2 linked regions of the Struthio camelus genome follow. The protein of the gene in region 1 interacts with the protein of each later gene in a biochemical or structural test. Links are inferred from orthologs where the notes say so. Each region holds a gene or a part of one and is shown on either strand. Other genes may lie near its edges.

Region 1 (11,736 bases):
CTATCGCAACTAACACAGACAATCCAACAGAAGTAGCTGAAACATTTTTTTTTGAGGCTGATAAAAGGCTTTTTAGCCAAGTTTATTCCTTTTATCTCCTGGAACAAGAGATGGAAAGCAAATTTTGACACACACTGAAGTGCCATCTTTATATCCGAATGTCAAAGATCTGAGTGAAGGAGCCCAGGACAAGGCTTACTCATGCTACTTTACCTCTTGAGCATCTAACCAGTGTAGGAAGAATAGTGCGGATATAAATGAAGAGGAAACTCACTCCTTTTTTCTGTGTTTCCTTCATCGCTTTCTTTGAAAACTAGACTAGTAAGAGTCCATCACTGCATGAAGCTAAAAAATACGTAGGTGCCTGAACTTCCCAGGTGTTTGGTATAACTTCCCAGTCCTTAAATACATCTTTTTAGAATGCCCCTGTAGGGCAAGGCATTATAAGAGGTCTATTTCCGAAGGGACAACCCATGGCACGGGGACATGGAGTACCTCTCCTTGGCTGGTACAGACAGATCCAAGCACTCGCCATAGCTCAGAGCAGCCCCAGAACGAGCAGCTCCAACCCAGCTGCACAGCTGCATTAGTGTGGCACCATCCTGAAGGACAGCAGCCCAGTTACTGAAGTGTGGCATCAGCCTCCCATATCTGTGCCACTTTCAGATGACAGCCAGCTTGAATTTCAAGCAGAGAGGCTCATTTCTGTCTGTCCTCATCCTGGTAGATGTGGCGTATGTGACATGCAAAGACCATGCATGAACCTCTGCTTAGATTCTGACCTGCAAATTATCTCTTTTTACTCTCCTGTCTGCTAGTTTGGAGGATTTACTATAGATCGTAAGCCATTAGGCCAACAGGACTTAGGTAACTGACCAGTTCAGGCATTTTTGCTATGGCCAAGTAAGTACATTTGAAAGCCTGCCCCAGAGATCCCTGCCAAAGGGAGTCACTTGCCTGCTGCTTTTGCAGTAATGCAAATAGGTGCTGGGACTCTGGGAGTATCGCATAAGTGTCTGCATTACAGGTTATTCTGATGAGGATCAAACTCACTGAAATAGTTAAAATGATCACTCCCATGTGCTCATTTACTCATGTGCACAGTAGCTGTAAAATTAGACCCTAGAAGCTCATGGAAGTGATTTGCATGTTATTATAAAGGCACTTCTGATGTATTTTAGTAGAGACAGGGGCTGAACACACGTGCTTTATGCTAAGACAGCCCTGCATTGTGCACCGTGTAATGAATTCCAGAAAACATAGCTTCTTATTGTTGTCACTTATTGGGGATTCATTCTCCTAATGAGATATGTAAATATCTTTCATTAGCATTAATGGCTATTGTGTGCTTGGCTCATGACGCGAAAAGAGCTTTCTCTCCAGCTACGTGCTGTTAAAACGGAAAATGATATTACAGTTATTGCAAAAATTTGCCTTTATGATGCCAGTAGTCCAGTTAGCTTTTGATATTATTTAGAGAATTATCCAGTATTTTACTTTGGCCTGTTTATTTTCTTGCTTTGGACTGCTACACTCAAACTCTTAAAGATCCTTTCATACCCATATTGTCAAAATTCAGAGAAAGGGACTGGATGCCAAACCCTGTTATCACTGTGTTCTCAATACAGTCAAAATACAGTAGCCTGTGCTTAGCACATGAGCATATGCTTTACTTTAAGCCACTCCACTGAAATCTACGGGACTCTGCAAACTGTTAAGCAGTTAGCAAATTCTTTTATCTGAATTTATGTATAGGCTGTTGTTACTGACTCACCTGGGACCAGAGAGGTGGATACCGTGCAATACTGAACTCCAAGTACAGTAATCAACTAGACATGTTGGTAAGGGGTTCTTAAAGAAGCTCTCCAAAATCTCTTGTAGCAAACATCCACAGAGATTGTCCTTGGAACCCGCATACTTTAAAAGCCCAGCACTTGCTGGCCCCCTCTATACAGTGCAGCGAGCGAGCCTGAGTCACTGAGGCCAGCGAGCACAGAGCAGCCGATGCCATGCTGCTTGGCCCCCTCGCCTCCTGAGTGAGGTGGCCACAAGCAGATGGTCTACTGACAACGGCCCATGGTCTATGCTAATGCCTGCCGTCCCCACGAATTGTCTGAGCAGAGCCAAAACTGTGCCAGGGCCTGTGCTGGAAGAGTCCTGGTACACACCATTAATTTCTATGCCTGCAAATGCTCCCTGGTCCTGTTTGGTTTGCTAGGATGGACATAGCCAGCGTGTCAGGCAAATACAATCATTTTCCCGTCACGGGCCGCAAGGCTGTGAACATGGTTGCTCAGGATTCACTCAGTTCTTAGCATGAGACACGACAGCGATTCCACGGCCTGCCTTAAGCTTTCCTCTCCAGAACAGGGATGACCAGACTGCATGGAGGCCTGACCAGGATGATCTGTTTTGTGGGAAATACACTGAAGAGCCTGAGGACTGGTTCTGGGAGCATGTAAAAGCGCAAATACTCTTTCCACATTTGGTACTAAGTTCTTCTGTTAATGTAATGACCTGATTTTGATAGTTTGTATCAACACAAAATCAATGTTTCATGGAACATCGGCCCTGAAGTTATAGACATACCCACAGTCACTCAAATGTTTGTATGTGCCTAAAGTCATATTAGTGTGTTCATACATATGTATGTCTATACATATGTAATGCGTGTAAGTTTATAACAGATAACATATGAGATAGAGTAGATAGTGCACCAAGTCCTCATCTGGTCCAACTTTGCATAGATCTATTTTGATGCCTCTGGACTTACAGCATTTTAAATCACTTAAAGATCTGGTCCTCTATGGTCTGATTTTGGACATCAAATTTTCAGAAGTTCCTAAGTTCCTAACCTACATAAATAAATAAATAAGTAAATAAAAAGGTATTTGCCAGCTGTCGTTCACCATGAATTCAGATTTTGAATGTGTAGTGTACCAATGTGCCTTTGCAAGCTTTTTAAATATTTGTGTTGGGGCAGTCTGAATATATCCCACAATGGCCTACTTGACATTCAGGAAGGCTAGGGGATAACATTTCCCAAGATGCTCATGTAACATATGAAATCTAAGCCCCACTGAAAGTCACTAAGTCAGATTTTCCAAACTACTTATGTGTCTAAAAATGCAGGCAGACACCTGTGCAATTCCGCAAAAGTACTTAGGCAGGATAAATGCTGAATTCCTCTCAAATCCATCAGGATTCAGAAAGTACCAAAAAACCCTAGGTATTAAGATTCCTCTAAATACGTACAGCTGAATCACTTAGATGTTTTTGAAAATTTTACCCAGCATAATCGAGTAGAATGGTTAGAATCCAAAATCTTAAAATAATAACATCTGAAAGATAGTCTGGATAGCAGCCACAGAGAGTCTGAAACTAAATACAGAAAAACAAGGCAGCAATAAATGTTTTCCTATTTAAATATGGAGGTATGGAAAAGCACCATCTATAAAATAAAAGCAAGTAAAACATTTGCTGAACATATTTGAGAGAAGTAACTTGCAAGTAATAATGACTATTAACCCTTAAGACAGGTATCCAACCTCAACTGGGCAATGATATGATACAAGGGCTCATCGTAATTTGCTTTCCTTGTTGGTTTCAGTTTTAAATTAATTTTCTATGTCTGTGAGCAATGTCTGATGATCTCAAGTTGCCAAAGCCAGACAGCAAGGCAACACGGTCCCCAGTACTTGCTTGTGTAAGGTAACATCACTTAAACATAATGGATTAATCGCATATTCAGCAATTATTGGAAAACAAGCTGTATGATTTACAACTGTCTAATGAGGCCCAGAAAACATCCAGCTAAATATAGGAAGAGGGGAATAATTCTTACTTCACTAGCATAGCTAGCACAATGGGGTGTGCAGACTGGCTTCTAATTTTCTTCATATTTAGCAAATCAGAGAAATGAAAGCTGAAAAAATGACTAGTCTGAGCATGTATCTCATCATCACATTCCTTTTTAAGCTAAATCCAAAGGCTAGACCTGTTAAGCATGGCAGCTGAATTTATCTAAAAATGTAAGACCTAGCAGCCACCAGTTTGTTACCCTAAAGAAAGATGAGAGAGTAAAGACAGGGGCTGATTTTTTTTCCCAGATGTAATTAGGGTACATAGCGCAGAACACTTGTGATCGCTGCAATGTGCCGCTGCAGGTCACTCCTGTACCAACGCAAACAGCCAGGCGCAGACCCACTCGGCTGTTACATATATCGGTTGTGACAGCCCACTGTAAATTCCTACAACAAAACTAGATCTTTTCTGTAAAACAGCTAGGTAGTCTTATTCCCCCATTCACACCAGATGCCCATTGACCAGTAGTTTTGAATGACCAGTTTGACCACTTTGCAATTTTCAGCAAATGGTGCTGTAATAAGGACTAGAAATACGAAGTTGATAATGCTTAACGGAGAGTTCATCCTTCCTTCCATTGCTGTATTATGTGAGAGAAAATGGCTGACATACCCCATGGCGATGTTCATAGTAAGCCAACTTGGACTGGGTTAAGACAAAGAAGCGCACTTTGAAGTTGGAGGGAGACGTCCTTCTCTTCTGCTGGGATTTTTTGATGAGCTGTTCCTCCAGGAGCACACAGTTATTCATTGCTGAGCCAAGAACAGTCCTCTCCCAGGACATGGGATGCCTGCCCTACGCGCTGAGCACCCGTCCAAGACAGAGAAACAAGAAGGAAGACAGTTAATTTTTTTAACAAAAAAGGTGTTCATAAGGCAGCGTAGGTGCTTTGAGCTTTATCTTCCCATCTACAGCAGGCTTCCTTTCTGTCAAACCATAACCACATCCTCTCTGAAGTCATAAACCGAACAGCACATGCTGAAATATCCTCTAAGGTAAATGTTGTGGAAAAAATAACACTTCAGCGACATTCAACAGATGTGAGTCAATGATCAAGGATTAATAAAGAGGTGTGGCATGATTAAGCATCTGTCTCCTACTTGTCCATCCAGTAAATACAGTTATAAATGCATACACTGAACTTGAATGTATAGGAGAAGTGTCTTTCCTGTCCTCTTAGAAGTAGGTCACACATCCTTTTTTGTTTTTTTTACGAAAAAAAGTATTTTGAGGAAATTTCTTACATAACATGAAAGTTCCTAATATGTAAGCAAAGGCAAAAAGGCAGTTCAAAGCAATTAAACCTACTACCCATATAAAAAATCATATCCATTATATATTTTTACAAGGAAGGATAAATACTTACAGTTGTTAGATATTTAATCTGATAGCAAACAGTTATAATAACTGATAACTAATTAGTTATTATCAGTTACTGTTTACTGATTGCTGTCTGCTTCATAGGCACTCTAATTAGTCCAGAGCTGAATGCTGCGAGAAACACAGGCACAACATACACTCTGTGTAATCAAGATCCCTGTCATCAGCAGCAAAGTGAGCAGAAATACCAAAATAAGTGCAATACGTTTCCTCAGGACTTCACTGCACCATTCTGGACAGCCTGCAGCAGCTTAATTTTAGAATTTTAAAACATGTAAATATTTTAAATATTTTAAAAAAACTCAGTAAAAAAACCATTTGTTTTAAAACAAATGCAATAGATTTTCCTCTGTTCTTGCATTTTTAATATTTTGTGCATTATTTTATCAGTGATGTATAACTGTAGTGTTGATGCTATTGGGGCTTGGAGACATGGAGTCTGGTGGAATGAGTGAGATGCCAGATAAGTATTATCATTAATCAGGTATTTCTGAAAATTACTCCACTCTACATCATTTGCCAGTGCTGGCTTTTTGCAAGATCCCATTTGATCCTAACACAACATTAGGATACAAGGAGATAGCTCCCTCTTTCTGATGTATTTTTAGAGTTGTTTTCAAGTTTCAAAGAAGATACTTCATTGTTTTAAATTCAGTTCTTGAGGAAAAAATCTAAATAAATATAAGACTGGCAAACTCTGTTTAAATGAAGACTTAGATTTTGTAGGCCAGTTCTTGGGCACAAACTTGGGAACAGTATTTCTCAATAGAATATATGGAGAAACAGGTAAGCATATCCCTTCCTTGCTGTTTCATGTTATACTGAGCATTTGCTCAGACAAAATACCCCAGGGATTGTCAAACGTTCCTTATATATCTTGCTTAATGCTATCAAGAACCTATATTTGCCATAAGAATACAATTTAAAGTTAGTGTTTTCTCTGCAGTTCTGAAAGAGAACTTGCTAAAGCAATCCAAACCACAGAACAGGGAGAAACAGAAGCTGTTGTGCAGTTGATCCCTGTATTTATCTCTACGTGGTGGTCTTGCAGAAGAAGAAATGCAGTGTATACTGAAACACTGCATGCAAGACTAGAGAAGCTATGTTTCATTTCTTGGTAGTGTGACTGAGTTCCAAGGAACCCTTGTGGTTGAACAAGAAAAATGACGTAAGTCTGTGATCTCCTGAAAAACTGTCACCACTGCCAAGGGGGATTTCATATCTATTTGAAGACTAGGATAAACTCTTGGGCCAAATTGCCAAATCCTTCTACAAAACACACACACGCCTCATGCAATGCACATGTATGGCAAATTCAGCATCCACTGTGAGTGTTCTAAAATTGTGCTCTCTGTAAATAACTACTGTTCTTATTCTTCCAGAACTTCCTTAGGCCCACTTTTGTGTGCACATAATTATTCTCATGCTTGAGAATTTACTGGTTTAAATTATGCTCCAAGATTCTCTTATTGTAACTACAAAACTGAAACACAGAGAGTAGAGTGCCCGCATACATTAACTCCATGGGACTTCATTGTGCTAGCAGCAGGGAATCCAAAAAAAGACAATAGATTTCACTTGTAACTAGCTTCATTGTTTCTAATGCTATTGCATTTTTAGCTATGGACACTTAGGACTGCGCTATTCTTTCTATTCTGTTTTTTGCATTGACTGCAAAAAGACTTTCTGAAAAGTCTTAGTTGCTTATACCAAGGAGGTTCACAATCTGTTGGCTGAGATTTTCACGTTGTCTTTTCAGAAAATTGAACATAAAGAGAAATTTAAGGGTGTGACATTGCACCTCTGCAAAAAAAGCAAGGCCTACAGGACAGCGAAGAGGTGAAAAACCCAGAAGCAGGCCTTTGAGGGGAGCACTGCTGCTGGAGACAGGATGTGGGGGGAGAAGAGAGATTCAGTAAGGGTGGGATGTTGAGGGGGCGAGCTAAGTAATTCTTTGAAAGTAGTGAAAGGCAGCTTGATTTCTTCATGCGATAAGAGATAAGGAGTTAGTGGAAAGATATGAAGAGGGGAGGCATTTGATCAAATGTTTAGACCTGGAGCCTGGCAACTACACTTGGTATGATGCAAACATGGTACGATGTGATGCACTGTAGGAGGTCTGAGAGGAAGACATTGCAAGAGTCAAGGCAAGACAGAATCAAGGACCAAACAAGTGATTTGGCTCTGGGCATGGAAGAACTGGACAGGCTGAGCTGCTGACAAAGAAATTTCACAGATTTGATACAACACACATGTAGGAATAAAGGCAGAAAGTTGTAAGAAAATAATCACAAATTTTAGCCTCATAGATAGTTATATCGTAACTAGCAGGATTTAGAAGGTGAGATTAGCTATTCTGAGTTTTCCATGGTGAATTCAAGCTGATGATTGTCCAGCTAAGATATAACTGACAACTCTTGACATGTTGAATCAAGGAGGAAAGTAGCGACTGGTGTATTTTTGCATCTACTCTTACCACAGATCTATACATTCATGCTACTTTTTCCATTTTAATCCCAATAAATATGTGTACTAAGCATGCAAATATTTGAATACAGCCGGCCAAGAACAGAGGATGAATACTTTGTAAGTCTAATAATTATAAGGCCACGCTGACATGCATATAAAGAAGCAAATGCTTCAAGAATTGTACTTATATTTAATTAAACATTTATGATTAAGTAACCTGCTTATGTGTATTTGAATGGAATTTATTTCAAAGATCATTGTGTGTTCTTAATTTTGTAATATAATTCTTTGTTGCTTTCAAGACATGAATTGGTCTTCTTTCATGAAGACATGAGCGCAGCCAACAGAGGCAGTGAACAGACACAGTAGTTTGCGCAGCAGTTCGCGCAGAAGGGTGCCAGAAGGCAAAGAAGGCACCTCTCCATTTTGCACAGTGGTGTGTCCTTCCCCGGGCATGGTCATGACATGCCGCAGAGCACGTTCCCCAGCGGCTGTTGGAGGTGCTGCATCAGCTGTGTCTGAGGCTTCAACCCAGACAGACCCTCTGACAGCAGATGCAGCTCTGCAGGTGTCAGGCTGCAGGGAGTGCCTGGGGCCTCTCCGTGAGGCCTGGGCTGACAGTCAGCTCTCCTGCATGAGGTGTGCTGTGGTTGACCAGTTGCATCACCAGATAAAGGAGTTACGGGAGGAAGTCAGTAGGCTGCGTAGCATCCGAGAAGATGAGCGGGAGATTGACAGGGTATTCTCGGAGACTGTGCAGCTCCAGGAGTCCTCACCCCACACTGCAGCGGAGTTGTTGGAGGGCTCTGTACCGTGTGTAAAGCTGCATCATAACGCTGTTGAAGAGGGCTGGAAGCTGGTGACCTCTCGTAGAAGGAGAAATGCTCCTGCTCCTCCTCAAGATTTACCCTTGAAGAACAAGCTTAGCGCCCTCCAAGCTGAGGAGGAGCTGGGCATGGCTCCAAGGGAGGCAACTGACCTCACAGACCCTGTGCCGTGCAGGAACACCCGGAAGAAGCGGCCAGTGATTGTTGTGGGTGACTCCCTGCTGCAGGGGACAGAGGCACCTCTCTGCCGACCCGACCTCTTGTCCAGAGAGGTTTGCTGCCTGCCAGAGGCTCAAAGAAGACATGTCATGGAAAGACTGCCAAGGCTTGTCCACGCATCGGACTACTACCCTCTGCTGATCTTCCATGCTAACAAGAACAAAAGGCAAATTGGAAACCATCAAACGGGACTTCATAGCTCTGGGAAGGGTGGTGAAGGGTCTGGGAGCCCAGGTCGTTTTCTCCTCAATCTTGCCTGTGAGGGGAAAGGACGGGAGGAGGAGTAGACGAATTTTCCAAGTTAACAACTGGCTGCGCCGCTGGTGTTGGCAACAGGGCTTTGGTTTCTATGACCATGGGACCCTGTTTGAAGATCAACAGCTGATGGGGAGTGATGGGATCCACCTTACCAAGCGGGGCACGCGCGTCTTTGCCAACAGGTTGGCCAGCCTGGTACGGAGGGCTTTAAACTAGGCAAGATGGGGGAAGGGGAGTGGTATAGTGGCAGGGGAGTCACTAAAACACCGCTCAAGTCAGGATGCCTCCAGCGGGTGCAGACAGCCAGGGGAGAAAGCATGGAACATGGCCATGGAGGATCCTCTTGCACCTCTCCTGGGAAGCCTGCGTGCTTGACTGGCTCTCTGGAATGCCTGCATACCAATGCACGCAGCATGGGGAATAAGCAGGAAGAGTTAGAGATCTGTGTGCGGTCGCAGGGCCATGATCTCATTGCAGTGACAGAGACATGGTGGGATAGTTCACATGACTGCAGTGCTGTCATGGATGGCTATGTGCTTTTTAGGAAAGACAGGCCAGGCAGGCGAGGTGGTGGAGTTGCTCTTTATGTGAGGGAGCAACTAGAATGTATGGAGCTCTGCCTCGGGGTGGATGAAGAGCAAGTTGAGAGCCTATGGGTAAGGATTAAAGGGCAGGCTAACATGGGTGACACTGTTGTGGGGGTTTACTACAGGCCACCTGACCAGGAGGAAGTCATCGATGAGGCCTTCTACAGACAGCTGGAAGTAGCCTCACGATCACAGGCCCTGGTTCTCATGGGAGACTTCAACCACCCTGACATCTGTTGGCAAGACAGCACAGCTAGGCACAAACAGTCCAAGAGGTTCCTGCAAACCATTGATAATTTCTTGACCCAGGTGGTGGAGACGCCAACGAGGAGAGGTGCATTGCTAGACCTTGTACTAACGAACAAAGAAGGTCTGGTTGGAGATGTGAAGGTTGGGGGCAGCCTTGGCTGCAGTGACCATGAGATGGTGGAGTTCAGGATCCTACGAGGAGGGAGCAGGGCAATGAGTAGGATTGCAACGCTGGACTTCAGGAGAGCTAACTTTGGCCTCTTCAGGGACCTACTTAGGGGAATCTCATGGGGTAGGGCCCTAGAAGGAAGAGGGGTCCAAGAAAGCTGGTTAATATTCAAGCATCACCTCCTCCAGGCTCAAGATCGGTGCATCCCTCTGACTAAGAAGTCGAGCAAAGCGGGCAGGAGACCTGCATGGCTGAGCAAGGAACTCCTGGCAAAACTTCAATAGAATAAGGAAGTACACAGAATGTGGAAAAGGGGACAGGCCACTTGGGAGGAATATAGAGACGTTGTCAGAGTGTGCAGGGATGCAACAAGGAAGGCTAAGGCCCAGTTGGAATTAAATCTGGCAAGGGATGTCAAGGACAACAAGAAGGGGTTCTTCAAATACATCAATAGCAGAAGGAAGACTAGGGAAAATGTGAGCCCGCTGCTGAATGGGGCGGGTGCCCTGGTAACAAAGGATATAGAGAAGGCAGAGTTACTGAATGCTGCCTTTGCTTCAGTCTTCACTGCTAAGGCCAGTCCTCAGGAATTCCAGACCCTGGGGACAAGAGAGGAAGGCTGGAGAAAGGAAGACTCTCCCTTGGTGGAGGAGGATCAGGTTAGAGATCTTTTGTCCAAACTTGACATCCATAAATCCATGGGCCCCGATGGGATGCACCCACGAGTGCTGAGGGAGCTGGCGGATGTTATCGCTAGGCCACTCTCCATCATCTTTGAAAGGTCATGGCAATCAGGAGAGGTGCCTGAGGACTGGAAGAAAGCCAATGTCACGCCAGTCTTCAAAAAGGGCAAGAAGGAGGAGCCAGGAAACTACAAGCCTGTCAGCCTCACCTCCATCCCTGGAAAGGTGATGGAACAGCTCGTCCTGGAGGTCCTCACTAAGCATCTGGAGGACAAGAAGGTGATCAGGAGGAGTCAGCATGGATTCACCAAAGGGAAATCATGCTTGACCAATCTGACAGCCTTCTATGACAGAATGACTGGCTGGGTAGATGAGGGCAGAGCAGTGGATGTTGTCTTTCTGGACTTCAGCAAGGCTTTTGACACTGTCTCCCATCACATCCTCCTAGGTAAGCTCAGGAAGTGTGGGCTAGACGAGTGGACAGTGAGGTGGATTGAGAACTGGCTGGATGGCCGAGCTCACAGGGTTGTGGTGAATGGCGCAGAGTCAAGTTGGAGGCCTGTGGCTAGCGGTGTCCCCCAGGGCTCAGTCCTGGGCCCAGTCTTGTTCAATATATTCATCAATGACCTGGATGAAGGCACAGAGTGCACCCTCAGCAAGTTTGCTGATGATACTAAACTGGGGGGAGTGGCTAACACACCAGAAGGCTGTGCTGCCATTCAGGGGGACCTGGACAGGCTGGAGAGCTGGGGGGAGAGGAACCTCAGGAAGTTCAACAAAGGCAAGTGCAAGGTCCTGCACCTAGGCAGGAATAATCCCCTGCACCAGTACAGGCTGGGGGTTGACCTGCTGGAAAGCAGCTCTGCAGAGAGGGACCTGGGAGTGCTGGTGGACAACAAGTTAAGCATGAGCCAGCAGTGTGCCCTTGTGGCCAAGAAGGCCAAGGGTCTCCTGGGTTGCATGAGGCAGAGTGTTGCCAGCAGGTCGAGGGAGGTGATCCTGCCCCTCTCCTCAGCCCTGGGGAGGCCTCA
Region 2 (8,869 bases), about 8.0 Mb from region 1:
ACTATTTTTGCAGTTAGGTTCACTGTGTCGATCTAACAGTGGATATAAAACTTGCAAACACTCAAATCTTAACCGTTCAAGTCCAAATGTAATTTGGCAGTTTCCAGTCGCTTAAAGATGGCAAAAGATGTTTCTCAGAAATGTCAATCGTATAGAGAAACAATTATTTTTTCAAGATTGCATTGCACTCTGAAATATTGCATTTAAATTCTCCTATTGCTCTATGGCATGAGTGAACCTTTTTTGTGTTATACAATTGTCAAGTAATTCGAAAGCTTAAAAACAACTGTCTCAGCAGACTTGAGCAGCTACCTACTTAACAGAAAAGCATCCTTTGAATCTGCTAGGATGTTTCTGAAGAAATGCTGCACTCTAAGCTAAGTATTTATAGAAACACCCTGGAAACAATAGAGAAATTCAAAATCACTTAGGAATTGCACAGCTATTGCTATTGTCATTTGCACCTCACACGCTTCCAGGCTTTCATAATGTTTCCAGAGCCAGAAGTCCCACTCCAGCCGCAGATTCTCAGTGCTTGAGTTAAGGAGAATCTCTTAGTGGTTAGTGCAATAAATCCTGTGACATACTGAATCATTCTGACTCCACCGACTGGGGAGGGTGGTAATCCTGTGCCTACTAGAGATGGTGAAAAAGTTTAATGCTACATTTCTAAGAAATGTCAAAAAACTTGATACATTAGGACAAGTGAATAAAAGATAAGAGGGCTGTAAAAGAAATGTGCATCAATTTATCTGCTGTGACTAATTGGACAGCTGATCAAAATGTGGACTTTTTGGAATAATAAATTTGGAAAAAAAATAGAAATAAAAAAATGAAATAATGATAAAAACCTTTACACATCTTTATGGATGTATACCTAAGACCTGAAAACAGCAGCTGTATAAATGGAAATTGTCAGCTTTTCTAAAGTTAAGCCAGGTCACTGGTACAGCATGGACCATGCATATTAGCTTCCCTATAGCAATGTTGATTTAAATTCAATGGGAACTTGCTTACTATTTTTGATGCAGTTACAGTTTATTGCTTGTGTGTTGCTGCAGAAGAACTTATTTTAACTCTAGAGGCATGTCATAGTGACTTCGGCAGAAGGCCGCTTGTTCTGGCCTTGTCCGCCTCTTCTTTGGTAGGAGAACAGAATTGATAAATGTGAGGTTTTTCTAGTTAATATTTGAAAACAAGCATTTCCTATAAAGAAAGAGATTATTAATTCAAGGCAATATTATGGCTTTATAGCTTCCCTGTCCATTTAAAAGATACTAAAATACATACATATTGAACAACATTCTTGGGTTCCCAGCATTCCATATTCTATCTATATCCAGATATTTAGACCTTATTAACTATCTAGAAGCGAAATGCTGATCCAAAGTAAGGGTCAGAACAATGACCTGATTTAAAGAATTTTACAACTCTACTTACCAAAAACCTTTGTCCGTTTATACTGTGCTTTCTTACGACTTTCTCACAATCCTTGTACTTTAGCTGCCAAAGAAAGGAAGATGATTATTGCACACTTAAGAATGGACTAAGGCACTCATCCACATGGCTAACTTTGAGTAGGTGCTTCAAATTAGCCTCGTGTATGCGAGAGCCTACTGTGTCTTGTCTGTCGTGGGGATCACATTAGTGAACAATATACTTTTTAATCTTCCTTGGGATAAACTCATAAAAACAGATAGATCTACAGTTCATGACCCCCACTTAGATGCTATAACCTCATGTTTTTCCATACCCTGCTGGACTGTCTAAATGGTTCATTTTGGTCCGTAAACATGGATTGTTAAGACAAAGATCCTTCAGTGTATTTTCACATATTTAGGAACAAGAAAGTTCCTGGTTCTATTCGGATAAAATTTAAATGTAAATTGAGGGACTCACAGAAATAAAATAAAATAGCCACGTTTGGAAGTACATGACTTTTAACTATTTCCAGTGGGTGCGTTAAGTTTTAGATTTGAACTGAAATAACATCATGTAAGAAAACAGCTTATCTTTTAGATCTCTAAGGGATTAAATACATTAAATATAATGGCTAGAAGGCATTTCTTCTGTTTCAAGTAGGTAAGTCCATGGCAGAAGGAACCCAAAGAGTAGGCAAAGTGACTTCTGGGAGAACTTTTTATTCTCAAAATAAAAGAATGTCTACAGCCTCGTCTGGGGCTTTAGCTAGTCAAAAGTTATACAGCTAACAGATCTTGTACTGCTGGGAGTCTTAAAGGGAACATTATGTCCTTTCTTCTTCTTTTTTTTTTTTATTCTAGTCAATTTTAAGGAGTACAATTAAATCTTGTAACTAGTTGTTGTTTGAGACCAGATCCTAGAAACATTTGAACAGCTGAGAGTTTATGGGAGCCACCTTCAGTTACTCATATACAGAAACAGACCTAACTCTGCTAAACATTTTCAAATGCATATTAAAACTTGTGCTGACTGAAGATTTAAACCTATAAATAATAACTCTTTCATATAGTGAATACCATCACAGTATCGCCAGCACAATCCTGACAGCAGCAACGAGCAACTGCTAACCAGAATTGACAAAGGTCTTAACTTCCACTGCCCTGTGACATGACCACATGATCGCTTTGTTAGGTGATGGTGGACTTGAATGTGACTGATTGATTGAAAATCATCCCTCCTTTGAAAATCATCCCTCAATTATCTCAGTGCAGCAGGAAAAGATTTGCTCATCCCTCTTGGAACTGAAGTCCTGAACATGGGGCTGCAGGATACTTCCAAGGCAAAATACATCAGTCAGATGAAAATAAAACATTGTTAAGGTATAGTACTGGACCCTTTAATCTATGTGTGAGGGAAATGGTATGGGTTAATTTGGGGAGAAGGATCTGGTCACTTAGCCCGGACTTGTCTAACTTAGGTTGACATCATTGTCTGACAGATTTCCTATAAGACTTTGAGTAGCTTTTCTTGGCCCTGATTCTCCTGTCCAAAAGAGGAATGCTAACATTACCTCTATCCTGGAGGGTGTCTGTGCATCAATAAAGGGGAGGTACTCAAAAACCCGTGTACCAATTATGATAGAACTTAGAGTTGATCCTTGTATTGCTGCTAAGAAAATCATTAGCAGCTCTTTCAGGAAGCCATTTCTTTTGTTAGTCTCTTGGAAATGGTGATCCAAACCACCATGCACCAATGCTGTAATGTCTTCCTTATTCATCTGCAATTGGTTGTTGGTAATAAGCTCATCTGCTCTATCTCTGCTTCTTTGTTCCACTGTACTGTGCTGCTAACCACTGTGCCTGGAATTAAAGGTTTGCAGATAGCTGGCAGTTTCACTTCTCTGGAGATTTTGCAAATACTGATTTTTTTGTTTGATCTGTTTGTTGCCTAGTTTTGCATTCTAGTTTCAAACTTGCCCCAACTCCCCAAAGAAAACTACGAAAACTGTTGAAACCATGAATTTTGCATGATTTCAGTGGCAAACCCTGAAGTGACCCTGTTTTTTTTTTCCCCCCAAGACTAGTCTGATAGCTCACTTGAAAATGAACACATGTATGCTCACATTGCTTGAAAATGTTCCCAAATCTTTTGATTGATCTGAATGTTAAATTCCAAGCTGACAGTTTTGGATTTGAGGAGGAACATATTCTGCAGCAAGGGAGATAGACAAGGCACTCTCTCTTATGTGAATTGAAAAACGATGAATTTGCAGAGAACATATAGAAATGAAATTTCAGTAAAATTGAGTCAGTTACACATTCCTGAGCAATTACAATGGTGTCAGCATTGCTATGTAGAAGATTAACACTGAATTGCCATATTACCTTTGAAAGTATTTCTTAACTGTGGAAAATCCTCCACCTTGTAAAATGAAATTTAGAACTGTTCACCAGTGAAAGGTATGTTAAAAGAAGCAGAAGTCCTTAGCTGACCACACAAGGTAATTTCAGAAAAAGTAACAGTGAGGGGAGAAAAGGGGTGGCTAGTAACCTTGATGAAAAGCTCTCTCATAAACAGGGGAGAAGTGAGGAAATGACCCATGAGTTTCATCCAGGAAGTTTTCAAGTAGGAAACTAGAACCACAAGGCAAAAGGTTTTCACACTGACCCTAAAAAACCCGCAGGAGTTCTTGTATCCACATCTGCTGAGTTCCTGGCTGAGTTCATATGGATGCCTTGATTAGCAAAGACATTCAGAATCTCATTTGTGAACATCGAGCAATTTGAAAAATCTCACTTCTGAAAATCATTGAAGAAGACCTAGAAAGCTTGTAATCTTTACACATTAATGTATTTTACAGCCTTCATCTATGTTTTATCAACAATTGTTATAGTAGTGTGTGCATTTGCTCTGCAAAGCCATCAGTTTCTCTTACAGTTAATTTAAAATACACTTTCAAGATTCATTTATAGGTTTTACTACCAAGTTTAGCTCAGTTTCTTAATTGGTGGTGGTTTTTGGTTTTATTTTTGCAACAAACTTTTTCTGTTAAAAAAAATCTATCTTTAGCATAAACATTTCGCAGTAGTTTGCTCCTCTGTCATACAAAGACAAAACACAGTTAAACTCACCGTCTTAAAATATTCTGCTAAGTCATCCGGGTTCCAGGTAACCACGTCTGAACGATAGGGAATGTTTCTCAAATCCATTGTAAGTAAGTTTTCTCTTTCAGGCAGCTAGAGAATGTTCATGCCAGTAGTGTCAATGAAATTGCCATGTATTCCCTGTGTGTGATCACCTCCAGCACGTATAAATAAATGCCCAGCTCCTTCTCTTTAGCAGACTTTTTATTTCAGAATCACGTTGTTAGCACATCCAAGAGAGCTACTGCTTCCTCTAATACAAAATGGTCTCTTCTCAGAAAAGTTGTCAGCTAGTCAGCCTTACCACTTCCTTTGTCTGTATATATAAATAAGTAAACAAGGAAGCACAGCAACCTGTTGAAAATGCTCTGCTTGCTGCATATAAGTAAGCTCCTATGGACTCTATTTGCTTGTAATTACATCAGAGCACGTCTTGGCATATTTCTATACTATATCCAGTATAAAAATACTGGTACTGCACTGATCTCTGCTGCACTGATCTCTGCTTCTGTGCCAGTCTTGCCCAGGCAGTCTCTGAAAACACAGAAAAGTTTACTTAAGAGAAACTTCTTCACCCTATCTCCCTGCCTGGAGTGTCACATTGGCTTTCTATATTATAATCTAATACAATTCATGCGATAGGTTTCTCAAACTCATATGCAAATTCTAATTAGCAGGCTCTCCATTATGTCTGTGGATTTGATCAAATCATATGTGCATAGCAGTATGCTACTTTATATTACATACAGAAAATAAAAGGTTCTTGTTGACGTTGAACATAAGAAGGTATGAATGATTTAGGAGTGTGAATACAGTCATCATTTGTTCAGTCTTTCAAATTTAGGGTGATGACTATCTCTCAGTGAAATTAAAAGACAAACGTATAAAAAATGACTATATTGCCATTCTTTCTCCCTCTAGCTCCATTTCTTAGCTGCCTCTAATGAGCATTGTTATATGTCTGAAAAAGAATCCACAGAACCATAATATTACCGCAGGTACCTGACAAACAGCATCTGTCATGTATAGCCAATTCCTGCACCATCCATTCAGTGAGACCCTTTGGTGAGAGTACATCGAGTAATTCAAAAGTCACCTGTTTTTTTAAAAAGACCTGGCGTGTTCATTCTCACTTTTCTTGATATGGAGCTTCCTCCCCAGGTTGTACTGGTGTGCATGCTTGGGGTCACGGTCCGCATCTGCTCCAGTGGAGAGGACAGAAGGTGGTATTTTGTGAACTTTCTATATTAGAAAGAATAGATCATAGTTCTGAAGCACTGGAAAGGAAAGTTTCTCTTCTTTCTAATGAAATGCCTCACTCTTGCTCTTTCTAGTCATTGAAGACCTTCTGACATTGGGCCGCAAATTCACAAGTTTATTGCATACAGCTCTAGTTGAGATAGCAGTCTCTGTAGTATTATGCATGAGAATTTTCCTTTTGAAATGTATAGTCTTCATTTGATTTAATGTAGCTTGCTTTTTTAGAGAAACATTTTGGGAAATGATGGCAGCAAGGTATTTAAAATTCTCTAAAACTAAACTGCTGTAACAGCTGTTCTAAACACAGCATAGAACTTAGCAAATACATGGTAGAGCTAAGTTTTATTGGTTCTTATTTGCACTGGCCTGTATAAACCATCGGAAGCATATACTGACAGTATCGCAGAAACATCATCACCTCTTCATTTTAAATCTAGGTCTAAGGAGGAAATAAGACTAAATGAACATGTGACAAAGGAACCCCAAAGGAAAAGTTGTTTTGATGGTGTATCAGCAGCAGCAGTAAAGAGGAGGTTACATGACATCTATCTCTAACTCCCCACCGGGCACCATGAGGTCTTTCAACAAAGAAACGGTTTCTTCCAGTACAGACACGTGAAGAAGACCATGCTGTAATTTCTGACTGTTCGTGCAATTACAGTTTTTCAGTACATTCCACGTGGCTCTGGAATCAAATTTCTATCCCAAGGTAAATCTAATGTAACAACTCCAATTTCAATGGTATTATTCTTTACTTACAGTAATATAAAAATTATTAGCTAAATTAAAGTTTAGTCTGACATTGTTATATGTTCAAAGAGAAAGTCGGTCACCTTTAAAGTCTATCTACTATTTTAGAGAGCCACTAACACAGAAAGTCTTAACACATTGAAGTCATCATTATTATTTGCTTGGATCCCATGATGGATGATCTTTTGTTTTATGTTGTGAGTCACTGTAAATATTTTGTAGGTACATGCTTATTGCATGCGTTTTACAAAATCCCAGCTCACACTGACTTGAGCTTTCTCTTTGTCTAGAACCATTTTTTTTGTAATTTGATAAAGGCATAGGATGTGGTGGCCGTGTCAGGGTTGCTGAGAAAACATAACTTTGAGTTTTCTGCATTTGAATTTTTAGCTATACTGCTACATTAGTGTAACAATTTTGAATTGCATCGCTAACCTATGTATGTATTTTAGTGCGGAAAATGTTACTCAGCTCACAGATAACCACACGTGAGTCACATCCTCCAATCCCAACTGAACTGCATAGAGTTGTTGTTATGAAAAATGCTTTAAATGTCTTTCTTTGTGGCCCAGAAATGTAATTTGGCAAATCTATATTCAACAAAGGGAGATCTTGGTCCTGGAAAAAAGAAAAGGACATAATTGCCTTTCTCTTTCAGTTTTTCCCATGTTCACTTTTCTGGCATTTCCCCACTTGTTTATTGCTTCTCTCTCTCTCTTCAGAGCCACAGTTATTGCATCTAGAATCAGCACTTTCTCGCAGTGCCCCTGTTGCTGCAGCGTCTTCTGCTCATAGAGAGGGAACTCCCAACACTGTAATGGCTGCCAAGAGGGGAAATTGAAAAAGTTGAATGTCCAAGTTTAGGAAAGCCCATGTCTAATCTCTAGTCAGATTTGGGTAGGAGGGTAAAGAAGGATGTTAGGGAAGCAATAACATCCAATTTTTATGGAGGAAGACGGAATGACTGCAGGGTGGTTGGGTGAACCACAACCAACATACAAGGCCACAGAGAGCTCTTGTAGAAGAAAGCCAAGTTTGACAAGCTACATACAGGAATTCGATTGTTAACTGAAAACATTTCAGAGGTGGCAATCCTCACTTTCTGCTTAGATCCTGCTATTGTGTTTTTCATGAGAGGGAATGATCACATGCTTTTAGATCTTAGTAGTCCCATCTTATGTTGCAAGTGAGGACGGAAGTGAAGACAGAATGAGTTTGCAGGACAATACACATCTCTTCTGTAATAGAATTTGTTATAGACATCAGATGGCAATCTTCCATGAAATGGATTTAGATTCAGATTTCCAAATTTCTCCTAGATTTCCAAATTCTGAGGAGAACGTTCATGTTACAACTGTTACCAGTTTCATACCTATTTCACTGTGACCTTTTTTTCCCTTTTGAAAGAATTAGGTCTTTTAAAGTCAATACCTGCAGTGACACAACCTTGGCATAAAGAAATATGCCTCTTCTAATAACAGCTGCCAGCGGAACAGTTTTTTCAGATGTAGCAATGGTCTGCTAAGCAGTATTTGAAATCTGAGAGCCTAGCCCTTTCAGGTAAAGTAGGAGGGAAATTCACGTTGCCCACATTCTGCTGTGTTCAGAGGGCCTCAGTACTTTCCATGTCCTCTCATCTCTTCTGTCCCCTAGCACCCTGCTCAAAGTGGAATCAAGGGCTTACTTAGAACAGCTTTCAGAGTGGTTTATTTTTCTGCAAAAAATAAACAGTTGCCAGGTCAATTTTTCTAGAGCCAAGCAAAAAAAGTTCAAATTTCATATGAATGTGGTCTTCATGTTCATCTCCAGCCCAAAGCAAAGTGGATTTCGATGACATGTTTTTCTGTAGTCCTGGCCAGTATTGTTTTTCAAAGTCTCAGGCAATAATTTTTTTCTTTTCATCTTGGGACTATTTATTATTGCCAACCTACGTTTTCTTTTATCATTGCATCCTCTCATTCCGAGTTGTATACATGCCTATACAACATGGTAAGAATGTTTTCATTTTTATGCCATTTAAATATCTTCCTAGTAATGTTGTATATTCCTTACTGTCTTTAATAATCACTAAGCCACACTTGCCACTCCTTAAATGTCCTTATCCATTATTCCCTTCAATCTTGCAGTCAAATGTTAACCTTCATTTTGCAATGTCTGTGCAGTAATAGAAGATGCAGAACCAAGTTTTTCAAAAGTTAACAAAAACCTCTTTGGCTGGATTCTAATTACAAACCTGCCTCACCACCTAGCGGCTAGCCCGCAGAGAACACCAGTGAGTAGGGACCACTATTTTA

The links.
Region 2: the proteins of ITK (region 1) and LCP2 form a complex in vitro, tested with the Homo sapiens proteins (2 studies listed by BioGRID, with this or other methods). The link is inferred for Struthio camelus from reciprocal best matches to the Homo sapiens genes ITK and LCP2.

What each region holds. Positions count from the first base shown.
Region 1 is NC_090954.1:11,275,058-11,286,793, forward strand, and holds the start of ITK (tyrosine-protein kinase ITK/TSK), read right to left. Parts: upstream 4,715-11,736; 5' UTR 4,648-4,714; coding exon 4,477-4,647; intron 1-4,476. UniProt on the Homo sapiens protein: Tyrosine kinase that plays an essential role in regulation of the adaptive immune response. Regulates the development, function and differentiation of conventional T-cells and nonconventional NKT-cells.
Region 2 is NC_090954.1:19,269,984-19,278,852, forward strand, and holds the start of LCP2 (lymphocyte cytosolic protein 2), read right to left. Parts: upstream 4,870-8,869; 5' UTR 4,632-4,869; coding exon 4,554-4,631; intron 2,802-4,553; exon of another isoform or gene 2,611-2,801; intron 1,504-2,610; coding exon 1,441-1,503; intron 1-1,440. UniProt on the Homo sapiens protein: Adapter protein primarily involved in signaling pathways within T-cells, as well as other immune cells such as platelets, mast cells, and natural killer (NK) cells.